Saccharomyces cerevisiae S288C: one gene and its partners. Changing the gene in region 2 together with the main gene of any one other region gives a genetic interaction. Each region holds a gene or a part of one and is shown on either strand. Other genes may lie near its edges.

The links.
Region 1: mutations in PAR32 (region 2) and NFU1 together harm fitness more than expected from each alone (negative genetic interaction), as found in Saccharomyces cerevisiae (2 studies listed by BioGRID).
Region 3: of PAR32 (region 2) and MEP3, changing one suppresses a phenotype caused by changing the other (phenotypic suppression), as found in Saccharomyces cerevisiae (one study listed by BioGRID).

Annotation. Positions count from the first base shown.
Region 1 is NC_001143.9:360,558-363,417, reverse strand, and holds NFU1 (Nfu1p), read left to right. Parts: upstream 1-1,589; coding exon 1,590-2,360; downstream 2,361-2,860. Other genes in the region: PTM1 (Ptm1p), read right to left, coding at 1-796; ESCRT-III subunit protein VPS24, read right to left, coding at 2,601-2,860. UniProt on the Saccharomyces cerevisiae protein: Involved in iron homeostasis within the mitochondrion where it is involved in the assembly of iron-sulfur proteins.
Region 2 is NC_001136.10:143,655-149,578, forward strand, and holds PAR32 (Par32p), read left to right. Parts: upstream 1-4,536; coding exon 4,537-5,424; downstream 5,425-5,924. Other genes in the region: GID12 (Gid12p), read left to right, coding at 1-569; AIR2 (TRAMP complex RNA-binding subunit), read right to left, coding at 830-1,864; DLD1 (D-lactate dehydrogenase), read right to left, coding at 2,172-3,935; GLT1 (glutamate synthase (NADH)), read right to left, coding at 5,549-5,924. UniProt on the Saccharomyces cerevisiae protein: Involved in resistance to cisplatin.
Region 3 is NC_001148.4:810,484-814,340, forward strand, and holds MEP3 (ammonium permease MEP3), read right to left. Parts: upstream 1,971-3,857; coding exon 501-1,970; downstream 1-500. Other genes in the region: lysophosphatidic acid acyltransferase LOA1, read right to left, coding at 2,673-3,575. UniProt on the Saccharomyces cerevisiae protein: Transporter for ammonium (both charged and uncharged NH3 and NH4) to use as a nitrogen source. The affinity of MEP2 is about twenty times higher than that of MEP1. MEP3 has the lowest affinity.

The DNA of each region.
Region 1 (2,860 bases), on a different chromosome or scaffold from region 2:
CCATATAAACTTTTATTCCCGCAGTATCACCTTTTTCATTTTTCAAATCATAGTAAGCCCATACAAATATGGTTTCTGCGGTTAAAAATACAAAAAAGGCCAGCAAATACTTTTGTAATGGTAACAATTCATGCTTGTGCTTCCAGAAGGCGAAGGAATATAACGCCATCGCCACAACGTATGCGACCGCCAAAAGACCATATAGTGGCAATTTGTTGATCTCGGTGCCCGCAAGCTGACCATAAGCATTCCTGAAATTCACCACAGCGTTGAACTTGGTAGACGTCGATGATCTGAACGCAGTAACACAATAAAATCCGGTTTCTTTTATTGGGTATCTAGTATCATGAAGGCCGACCTCATTTTGAGAAAACGTCATGATTGGATTGGCCAAAGATCTATTTGTGGAAGTATATGGATCATATACAACATCTTGAACAATAAACTCATCACGATTCTCCTCTTCACAAATCCCGATATCAATTGCATAATCATCACAAATATAATACATTTCTTCATCCGGCAATTGCACACCTAAGTGCTCAAAGTCTTGGAAATCATAGATTGCAACGACTAAGCCTGGATCAGACTCATCACTCAATCCACTTATTTTTTTAAGATTGAATGATATAAACGGGTCTATTTTGCCCTTCCAATCTTCTTTGGAATACATACCTGCGCATACTTGATAATTCTTTTGACTTATCTTTTCCTTGTTAGCTTTTACGAACACTAGAAGGTAGCATAAGAAGCAGGTGAATAATTGGAAAGGTCGGCAAAACTGATATACTCTCATTGTGCCCTTACACTCTTAGTTTCTGTAAATTTACTGCCTTTTTACCAGCTGTTTCTTGAAATTACCGAGAAAATATTCTATTTCAATTTTTAACCTGCAAAACCTGAACAGAATAGTTGATCCTCTTGACTATTAGTTTGAGGCTAAGTTTTTTTTTCCACTCTCCCTATTCCTACTCCTATATATATCTTGCTCTATCTTTTTCTTCAAGTTCGTTTTTTCACACACTATTTAAAAGACCAAGCTTATGTGTGACGTGCACGGGTGCAATATCTAAATCGGGCAAAACAACTAAGCAGTAATTAAAGTACCACACTCTAGCCGAAAAGAGGTATACATGAAGGTTGAAGATTCGGAAGCAATTCCCAAATTATGTTCAACATTACGGATATTACAATGTTCAATGCGCATAATACACCATAGAAGAAAATTGGCACTACGTATATACTGTCCATTGTTCTTTTAAACACAAAATTGAAACGTCTGCGGTCTCTTGAGGATAAAACAATGTACATTGAGTATAGTAACATGCTAAGCGTTAGCTTGTATCATCAAGACCGTCAAAGCAGGCATTTCATCAAATCTATAGGACCACTTAGCGGAGTCCTGGTGATTGTAGAAATAGCCTTCTAACGTATCAAGTGATAAATAATTTAAGTTTTCCGAATTTCAGTGATCTACTTACAATATTGCTTATTAATCATTATAAAAAGAAGCGTATTTAGCGGACTAATTAGAATACATAAGGCATTCTCAGCGTAATCTAAGCAAAAAAGCAAGAAATTGACTAACAATGTTCAAATCAGTGGCTAAATTGGGGAAGTCTCCGATTTTTTACTTAAATTCTCAGAGATTAATTCATATTAAGACTTTAACAACTCCAAATGAAAATGCTTTAAAATTTCTCTCCACAGATGGCGAGATGCTACAGACGCGTGGCTCCAAGAGTATAGTTATTAAGAACACTGATGAAAACCTCATCAACCATTCCAAGTTAGCACAGCAAATTTTTTTGCAGTGTCCAGGAGTGGAGTCTTTAATGATAGGTGATGATTTTCTCACTATTAATAAAGACAGAATGGTCCATTGGAATAGTATCAAGCCTGAAATTATAGATTTGTTAACCAAGCAACTTGCTTACGGTGAAGATGTTATATCCAAAGAATTCCATGCTGTCCAAGAAGAAGAAGGAGAAGGTGGCTACAAAATAAATATGCCCAAATTTGAACTTACCGAAGAAGATGAAGAGGTCAGCGAATTGATTGAAGAGCTGATAGATACAAGAATAAGACCAGCCATCTTGGAGGACGGCGGTGATATCGATTACCGTGGGTGGGATCCAAAGACTGGAACCGTTTATTTAAGATTACAAGGTGCATGTACCTCATGCTCTTCTAGTGAAGTGACTTTGAAGTACGGTATTGAGTCCATGTTGAAGCACTATGTGGATGAAGTGAAAGAAGTGATTCAGATCATGGATCCTGAGCAAGAAATAGCATTAAAGGAATTTGATAAGCTTGAAAAAAAGTTGGAATCGAGTAAAAATACAAGCCATGAAAAGTAAATATTCCGTCCTTCAAATGAAAATACAAGATGAGACGAAAATAAAAGGAAGTGTGTATATACTGTCTTTACCCTCACTATTACTTGATAGTCCGTACATGTTTCAACGGTCATCATGGAAAAAGGGTAAAGCACTCAACTTTTTCCATACACTAAAAACGGGTGCCCTTTTTACTGTGTTATTCGTACCATTATTTATTCACTTATTTATTTATTTTCTTTGTACAGTCACAGTAACACTCTAGTTTTGCAAAGCTCTCAGCCTTTCACGCATTTCATTTACCATCCTATCTGCTTCCTCATCAACTTTTTCATCCGGAATTTCTTGCTCTTCTTCATTGGCTGCTAATTCTACGGTTGGCACTTGGTCAACATTCTTGAATTTCTCGTTTGTGTATTGTTCAACTATCTTATTAACTTCTTCATCAACAGCTTCGTCCATCTCTTCCCCTACGTCCCCAACACTCTCCATGGTATCATCCACCATTTCACTTATAATCC
Region 2 (5,924 bases):
AAAATGGAACTAATGAAGAAGAGTGGGCAGAAAGTCAAATGAAGGTGGATGGCCAAGTGATAGATGATGAGACAGCTCAATTCAAGCAGGCATTGGGAAATTTATGTTCATTCAAGAAATTATTTATGCTGGATGATTCTTTATGCTTTATATTGGACACACATGGAGTTTTGTTGATAAATAGATTTGAAATAAAAAATACCAAAAATTTGTTAAGGAATTCCAAGGATACTATTCGGATAATACCCCATGATTTCGGATTGATTAATGATACAATTGTTATAATTAATGATATAGACGTAGGCACAGACAATGTTTGCGCCCTTACGTTTCACTTGGTGGTAACATCAATGGCAGGAGAGATAACTGTTCTTAAAGGCGAATTTTTCAAAAACTGCAGGTTAGGAAGAATAAAACTGTGCGATTCACTAAAGCTAAATAGAAAAGATCGGTTTGTCGACAAACTTGCTCTAATCGATTATGACGGTTTAAATGCACAAAAAAGAAGGTTAGATTACGATGAAAAGGACCTTTATACATTCATTGTGAAAAAGGTAAAAAGAGACTAAATTGAGTTGCATAGATGTTAGCCATAATAGAAAATAGCGTATGAGGTAGCAGGAGTTATAAGACGTATTTACGTATATGTATGTATATGTTATTATTATTACCTGTGATTGCACGAAGGCCTTTTTTTTTCACAACAAGAAGATGTAAGAAATTTACATGCTATTTTGATTAATGGTCGAATTAGGTATTGTCTTTAATCTTTCATTAAGAAAATATAATGTAACCAAGAACAGCTTGTTAAAGGGCTTCCTATTTAAAGTTATCTTCTTTTCCCCAAGGTACCACTCCTATATGGTTGATAAGAATTGTAGTTTCTGTAATTGGAAGAGTTGGAAATGCTGTTATTATCAACATAAGTAGAAGGGTTATATCTGGAGCCATACATATTCTCCGATATCGACGAGACGTTTACTTTTGTATTTTGATACCGTGAATTTTTACTAATATTATTATTGAGTGACAGCGTCTCGCCCCTTATAGTTGGTTGAATGACATTAGACTTTTGATAAGGAGGAGGATGGAAGTTCGATGCTCTACGTTTATTTCTGCCACTATGAGAGTGATCGTTTTGGGAATGTCTTTTATGGGAAGGTCTCGGTAGTGGATCCTCATCGTATATGGACTCACTAAATTGATAGTCTTCATTTTCGTCCGAATTTCTGTTCATGTGACGGTAATATTCCTGTTTTAGCTCAACTGACAAATTAGAACCAGTGAACGCACTTCCATCCTCGTTAGGTACTCTAGATGATCGTTTTTCCTTGCAATCATCACCAAAGTGCCCCTTTCCACCGCAGTTATAACAGTATATAGTATGAAAGGGAAGGACCTTGGGCTTAGCCTTTTCATTATCATCTACTAAAATATATGCTCTCCATATACTAGGACATCTTTCTTTTGAGTGTTTCTTACTCTTACAAAGAGTGCACTGAACTTTTTTCCATTTATGTGGACATTGTGACCTGTAATGACCCACCTCATCACACTTTGAACACTGGATAGCCTTCGGACAATGTCGAGAATAATGATCATCCGTCGCCCCACAGTACGAACATATTATATGGGGACAATCCTTCTTCAAATGACCTCTTTGAGAGCAATTATTACATTTAGGTGCTGCCTCTTTAATGGCATCCTTGTCATCATCGCTTACGCCAAAATATCTACCCTGCCCTCTAAGAGCTCTTAATTCGTTGGGATTACTATTTACTTCCTCTATAGAAGGTGCTACAAGTTTATCTGGAGGAGTTGTGGGTGCCGTATCGACGACAAATGGTGCCGTATTTTTTTCCATGACTGCGAGGAAGTGATGTAAGCTGCTATCGTTGTACAGGTAAGGTTTAATTCTCTCTGATGCTGCCAATAGTCATAACTTTTTTCGAAATGTTTCTTCCCATCCCATTAGTGTTTGAAGGAAAAAAAGGCACTACCCGGATCATGAATACATTTGATGGTAATAATATATATCACATTTTTAAGCATGTATTAGCTACTGGGAAAGGGCATTTTGAAATGGTATGTTTTCTTTAAGGATGAACTATATATATTACATGAAATATATTTCAGGTTTACGTGAAGGGTGAAAAAGGAAAATCAGATACTCACCTGTAATCATTAGCGGGCTCGTTTGGATCAGTTTTAAAGATTTTGTCCGGGTTCATGATTCTCTTTGGGTCAATAGCTAGCTTAATCTTTCTCATCAAATCGACGGGTGCTTCACCTAATTCTTCGAGCAAGTACTCTCTTTTACCAATACCAACACCGTGTTCACCCGTGCAAGTGCCTTCTGCGTTCAGTGCTCTCTTGACCATTCTGTCAACAAGTTGGCTACAGGTTTCGTGTTCTTCAGGGGTTCTGTAGACGATGAATGCATGGAAGTTACCATCACCTGCATGACCAACAATGGCGTTGATCAGCTTACTAGCTTGCATGTCCTTTTTAGTTTCGTGAATAACCTTGTCGAACTGCGACACAGGAACAGCTACATCAGTTGTCCAAATTTTAGCTGATTTGTCTTTGCTCTTATCAGCGTCTAGCACAGACCATAGCGCGACCTTTCTAGCTTCCCATAATTCCAATTTTTCGTCATCATCTTTAGCAAACTGAAAACTGTTGCAGTGATTTAACTGGGCGACAGCCTTAACTTCATCCACAAGAGCATTGACAATGTTGGGAGATCTCCCACCAATCTTGAAAAACATAGTTGGTTTCTCTACCCAATCACATCTGTCCGTGGATTCAGATGCGTTGATCAACTTCATCATATTTTCATCCAGTAACTCCATGGCGTTCAAATGAATACCACTCTGAGTCAGATTAGAAGCACATGCGGCCGCATCCTTGATAGTATCAAAGGATACCACCGCAACAGTTTCAGCTTTGGGCTTGACATGACACTTGACAGTAGCTTCAGTAACAATACCTAAGGTACCTTCACTTCCCACAAATAAACCATTTAAGTTATAGCCAGCGCTCGACTTTCTGGGTCTTTTCTTCGTCTTGACAATGGTCCCGTCCGGCAACACTATAGTCATGTTTATAATATTCTCCTTCATGGTACCGTAACGGTAGGCGTTGGTTCCTGAACAAGAATTAGCAATGCAACCACCAATCTGTGCACCTGGACCAGGGTCACAGCCAAACATCAAACCGTGGTCGCTCAAATAGTCATTCAAATCCTCCCAGGGTAGACCGGCCTGCACGGTGATGTCCAGGTCCAGCTTGTCAAATTTTACGACGTTATTCATAAACTTGGACAGGTCTACGGTTATGGTATCTCCAATTCTTGTAGGCAGGAAGTGCCCCTCCAAGGACGTTCCGCCCGAGAAGGGTACAACTGGCATGTTGTTATCGTGACATATTTTCAAAATTTTGGAAACTTCTTCGGTAGTATGAGGGAATAATATAATCCTAGGTCTTTGCTCGGGAGAGGGGTGATGCGTGTTGAAGTAGGTATCTGAATGGGCGTCCAAATCGGATTTCGCATCAGAGTAGTTTTCAGGCTTGTTTCCCAGCACCTGCTTCAGGTCCTCAACAACCTTATCGATCTTAACCGGGTCGTGCAAATAGTCTGGTGAGTCCAATGAGGACAGCTTTAACGTAGAATTTACTGGGTCGATCTTTTTGACCATTTCCAGCTTCTCTATCAAATCTTCCTTAGTCTCCCTAGAATAGAGGTTCTTAGCGAACAAATAACCGAATAGAGTAGCTGAAGAGGCGATGACAGAGTATTTTAACCACTGGCTGCTGCTGTCGGTGCTGCCTGTGCCTGTTGAGGCGTATCTGTAGCATGATCTTCTCACCAGCCTTCCTCTAGGTTGTGCAATAGGCTTTATTAGCCTTGTGCAAGTACGCTTCCACAACATTGTTCTTGCTTTTGTTTCCAGCTGGATCGGAATGATGTACAATATTTAAATTGCACTATAACACGGAAGCTCAAGAAATCTTTCCAGCCCACACACACACACACATATATATATACATATGTAGTTCCGAGTGCAAAATCGCTAAGCGGTTATTACTGCACCAGTTGGGGCCAACTACGCTGGATCGACGTGGGATTGGCAGGGAAGAACTTCGAGGGAGGTGGTCGGAGAAGAGAGTGGGATGCGGGCGTGGGGGTCTGCTGTTACTTTTATCGGCACAACGGACCTGGGTTGACAAGAGCTTGAAGGCTCCAAGAGACAGCGACCGTCGGCGCCGAATGACGAAACTATGCTGTGTGTGACCAGGCGAACAACATTGAGAGAGTTGAGGAGCCGTACGGACAGCTGTTTGTAGTGATATTTCCTTGTTGTAACCAGACGAGTTCCTTTATAACGTTTTGAAATGTTTCATAGGGTTACCCTGACAGAGCGGTGGCTTATGTCAAAAAGGCTGACGCTGATACTAATGACGGTCAATGGAAGCATATGAGCAAAAGCAGCAGCAGCGTTAGCAGCAGCAGTAGCGTAAGACCAAGTTAGTATGGCTACGTTCAACCCACAAAACGAGATGGAGAACCAGGCACGTGTACAAGAGTACAAGGTCTCCACTGGCAGAGGCGGAGCTGGCAACATCCATAAATCTATGTCCAAGCCGTCTCCCGTACTTCTTCCATTGAAATCCAATTCAAAGACAGTAGCAAACAACAATAATAACGGTAGCAACCAGGAAAAGGTTCCTCGTTTTGCAATTGGTAGAGGTGGTGCCGGTAATATCTTTCATGATCCGCACCTGACGAGATCCGCCCAACAACTGGACTCTAACGACAATATCAACTATAACGACGTGATCAATGACATCGACGATTATATTTCCCCTATAACTTCGGATATGGTGGATGAAGGTGGGTCAAACCCGGTGACCAACACCAGGTCTCGTATCAGCGCTACAAGGAGCCATCAGTCTTTGCATGCCACCACTTCGTCTCCGAACAACAACGCCCCAATTGTCGTTGGTAGAGGTGGGGCAGGAAACATTTTCTTCAACAAAAAAAAGGTGGCCAGCAATGGTGGAAATGAAGAGGATGAGATACGAGGCGGCAATATCGAGGATGAGGATACTATCAATGCAAACGAGGACAACCTGTTTGTGGTGACTTCCAATGGCAATGCTTTGGCGGCAATCAAGTCCACGTCCAAGAAGCCTAAAAATAAGCTCAAGGGCAAAAGCGCACCGGAAAAATTTGCTATTGGAAGAGGTGGCGCTGGAAACATAATTTCTCCAAAGTCAAGCAGGAACACTATCAACCATAACTTAAACGATGATGATGAAGATAAGTTTAATTTGAAAGATGACAATGGTAAAGAGAAGAAGAAGAAGAAGAAGAAGAAATCAGGGTTTTTCAGTTCTTTGAAAACTATGTTTAATTGAAATAACATTCATCAGCAAAATTAATAAACTAAATAAAATAAATAAATAAATAAATAAATAAATAAATAAATAAATAAATAAATAAATAATATACGATCATAAAATAAATAATAACTCAAGCTTTTTAGACTTGACTAGCTAATTCTTTCAATAGTTTGTAATCACGTTGAACGATACCACCATTACTTGGTAGATACGTAGTGCCGTCCATTAGGAACTTATCGACAGAGGCAGCACATTTTCTACCTTCTTGGATGGCCCAGACAATCAAAGATTGCCCTCTTCTACAGTCACCACATGCAAAAGTCTTTCCTCCATCAATAGAGTATGAGGAGTCGTCGAGTGTGGCAATCGTACCACGTCTTGTCTTCTTAACTTCGTTATCGTTGCCATTGATCAATTCAGGACCCACGAAACCCATAGACAACAAAATGATATCGGCTTCAAAGATCTCTTCACTGTTGGGAATTTCTACCATTTGCCATACGCCACTTTGTGAC
Region 3 (3,857 bases), on a different chromosome or scaffold from region 2:
ATCTTCTAACACCGTATATGATAATATACTAGTAATGTAAATACTAGTTAGTAGATGATAGTTGATTTCTATTCCAACAAATTATTCATCAAATACATCTCGATATCCATATTTTGGTTGCAAAGAAATAAATACCGGAGATATGATTCAGATGTGGAAGCGGTTTTAAAGTCCCAATTCATCATTATTTGCGACTCCATGGCCAAGTTGGTTAAGGCGTGCGACTGTTAATCGCAAGATCGTGAGTTCAACCCTCACTGGGGTCGTATTTTTTACTAAATTAGTTTTTTTTTAGGGAACAGACGTTAAGTTTTTTAATATTATTATGGCATATAGAATGGTGAGTAAAAATACCAAATGATGAAATGAATTTGTTTTGTGAGTCTATGATAAAATGCAGAATATAAAATTAAAAAGTTCAGAAATAAATAAATAAAAAAAAATCTAGTATCGCGGCACTTCCGTTCAATGTGCCGACGAGCAGTTACTGGGGAGTTGATTCATGCTTCTTTTGCGTGATGCAATTTAGGATTATTACTTTTTTCGTTTTGGCCGCTTACTGTAGCTGATGACAATGAGGAGTTTTGGCTGTCCTCAGTAGGATTTGTCTCAGACGCAGAATTAGCGCCATTGCATGTAGTATGAAGTGCATCTGTATCTACACCCCACTGGTAATAATCTCTCCTAACCTCCACGTAATCGTAAGCGAATTCGCCTATTTGATCTTCATCCAACCCCAATGCTTCGGCTTCCTCAGTGACTCTTAGATGGACACCCGGAATTTTACCTAATACGAAGCAAATGATGGCCGTGACCACAGCACAATAGCCGGCAGAGGCACCGATATAGGCAATTTGAATATACATTTGTTTCCAGTTATGCGTCAACCAACCACCCTTATGCTTTGTTGTGCCGTCCATTCCAATAACCCAATCAGCTGCAAATAGAGCGTTAAAAATCAATCCCACCACACCGGCGATACCGTGTTCAGCTAATAGATCTAAGGAATCATCCACTTTTAAATAATACTTTATTTTTGTTGCAAAATTACAAACAACACCCGCTATTATACCTTGGATCAAAGAGCCATATAGAGTAATACAACCCGAGCTAGGCGTGGCAGCAACTAAACCACAGATAATGCCGGAGCATAACCCAACAGTGGACCATTTTTTTTCAGATCGATAATCTAATAAACACCACGTCATTCCACCCGTGGTGGCGCTGAGACAAGTGTTCATGAACGCATATACGGACCTCATATTTGGTGACAGTGAGCTTGCAGCATTGAAAAGCAACCAACCAAACCAAAGTATAGAAGTACCCAAAGTCACCATGGAAACATTATGTGGTCTAAAGTTGATCAGGAGGTTTTCTTTTCTTCTTCCTAGAAAATAAGAATAAACGAAACCAGCCACAGCACTTAGGATTTCAATATTCCCACCGCCAGCCCAGTCTAATACCCCCCATTGGTAGGCCCAACCACCTGGGGCCCAAATCCAATAAGTGATGGGACAGTAAACCAAAGTCGCAAAAACAAAAAGAAAAACCATATGTGGAAAAAGCTTACCTCTTTCCGCAGTGGCACCAGCTATAATACTCAATGCGACACACATGAACATCATTTGGAAAATGGCATAAATCAGTTCAGGATACGTGGAATCATCCGAAATTTTGCCATAGACGTTTCTAAACCCAAATGAATCCAAGTTGCCGATAAATTTGTTGTTCGTCGCAGTCTTAGAGAATGCTAAAGAATAGCCCCAAAAATACCATTGCAGTATACCTACTAAGGTAGCCATTATCACTACCCAAATCAAAGCCAGAGCAGATTTTCTTCTTGCTAAACCGGAATAAAGAAAGCCCAGCCCCGGTACCATGAAGAAAACCAGGGCGGCACCTAAAATCATAAAAGCGACTGTGGAACTATCATATGTCTCTGTCCATAGATGTCCGTCACCCCGAGCCATGTGAACTCTAAATCTATATGTTTTCAATTGTATCTTCTAAAAAAAAAATGCCTTCGCTTTTTACAAAACAATTTCAAAAGTGATTGGACCCTTAACTAGCCTGCATTGATTGTAATAGACAATCAAAGAACCAAAAGAGAGAAGAAGCGACCGAAAGAAGACGGCTATCAGACTCAAAGCACACAACCTTATTCTACAAGATAGGAAAGGGAGAAGATATCTATCAAATTGTTGCGATAAGATGCGATAAGACAAGGAGAGGGAAAGTCCGTGCTGCATATCAGCATATCAAATCTGCTAAAACATATTAACTTAACATATATATATAATATATAAAGTATGCCATCGGGTACCTTAACTAAAAAGGGTCATAGCGTGGAAAGCGAGGAAAAACCTCGAGATGGAAAACCAGTTTATGGAAAACTTCAAAATAACTCGCCCGCCTTATCGCGGGCAAACCAGCTACGAGAGATAAGGATTTGGCGCCGAGATAAGGTGGAGATGTTTCTCCGCCGCGCGGCACTTTTTGCCGGAACTGGAACTGGTTTGAGGTAGGTCAAGAAAGTGTCAGTAAATAGGAGTGACAGAAACGGGCACATCTACTCTTCTTTTTCTTGTTTGTTTCGATTAAATGCAATACATACTCCTAAAGACATATATATATAAATATGTATGCATGCATGCATGCCTTCATAAGTATTTCTACTTCCTCTTTTTACGTTGATCGCTGATATATTCCTTCACAAAATTCCTCTTAGATTCAACATCTAACTTCCGTGAGACTAGTTTATATTTGTCGCCACCGTTTAATGCAACGCGTAATTCCTCTAAATTATCCGAGAGTACTTGTGGCTCGTTGATCTTGCATTTAACATTAATGCCCTTGTTCAGAAATCTAGATAAATACTCCATATTGGAGATGGGCAATGTGGTGATGGCAGTTTTATTAGTTTTGATTTGGATGGTCTGCAATTCAAATTTTTTAGTTTTGGCCATTGCGGGGTTCATTGTGGTTATTGAAGGGTCTATGAATTCTTTAAGTTTTTTCCCGGTTATACTAAACGGTAAGACGCTTTTACCATTACATGAGGTACCCTCAGCAAACATAAAATTCACGGTATTGCCCAATTGAGATAGCTCTGCTACCTCGTGGCCATAGAGTTTTATATCTAACCCACCGGCGAGGATGAAGTTGATGAATTCTCTTATGGAAACTTTGTATACAATGTCATTGGATGGGACCAACAACGTAACAGGCCCTTGAGCTAATAACACCACTGAAAAAGCATCTAAAGGTGAGGTACAATTGCAAATATAAAGCTTGCCCTTCTGTGGATAATGCTTGGATTTCCTTACGTCACGTTTCTTGATTCCTTGCACGGTAATTTCCTCTTTCCAACTGAATGTAAACTTCAATATCAAACCCAGTAAGTTGTTCTGGCCAGTTAGAAGGTACAGCATAATCAATGGTAGCATTATAATGGTTTTCACCCCTAGGATACCCAACAAACACGCTGTCATCACCTTACTAGGTTTCCTGATTGTGTTTGGTAGAAATGGAGCTATTCCCGTACCATTGTCTCTCCAATTGGTGTACTTTTCCATTACTTTTCTTGTATTTTGTCACCTCGTAGGAGCTACTTCTTTCACGCCAGGATCTGACAGTATTTCTATTACGTTACTCCAGTCACGTTGAGAAAAGGCTTCATCTTTTTCTTTTTTCTTGAGATAACTTTTTTCTTCTACCTTCACTCAGACCGAGATATCGGACCTCAAACATAGCGTTTTTTTTTGTAAAACACTTAAGGATGGAGGAACATGTATGCTGAGTAATTCCAGCAGAAACCATTTACTGAGAGCCTCATCTTTTGTTAAAAAATTTGTTTA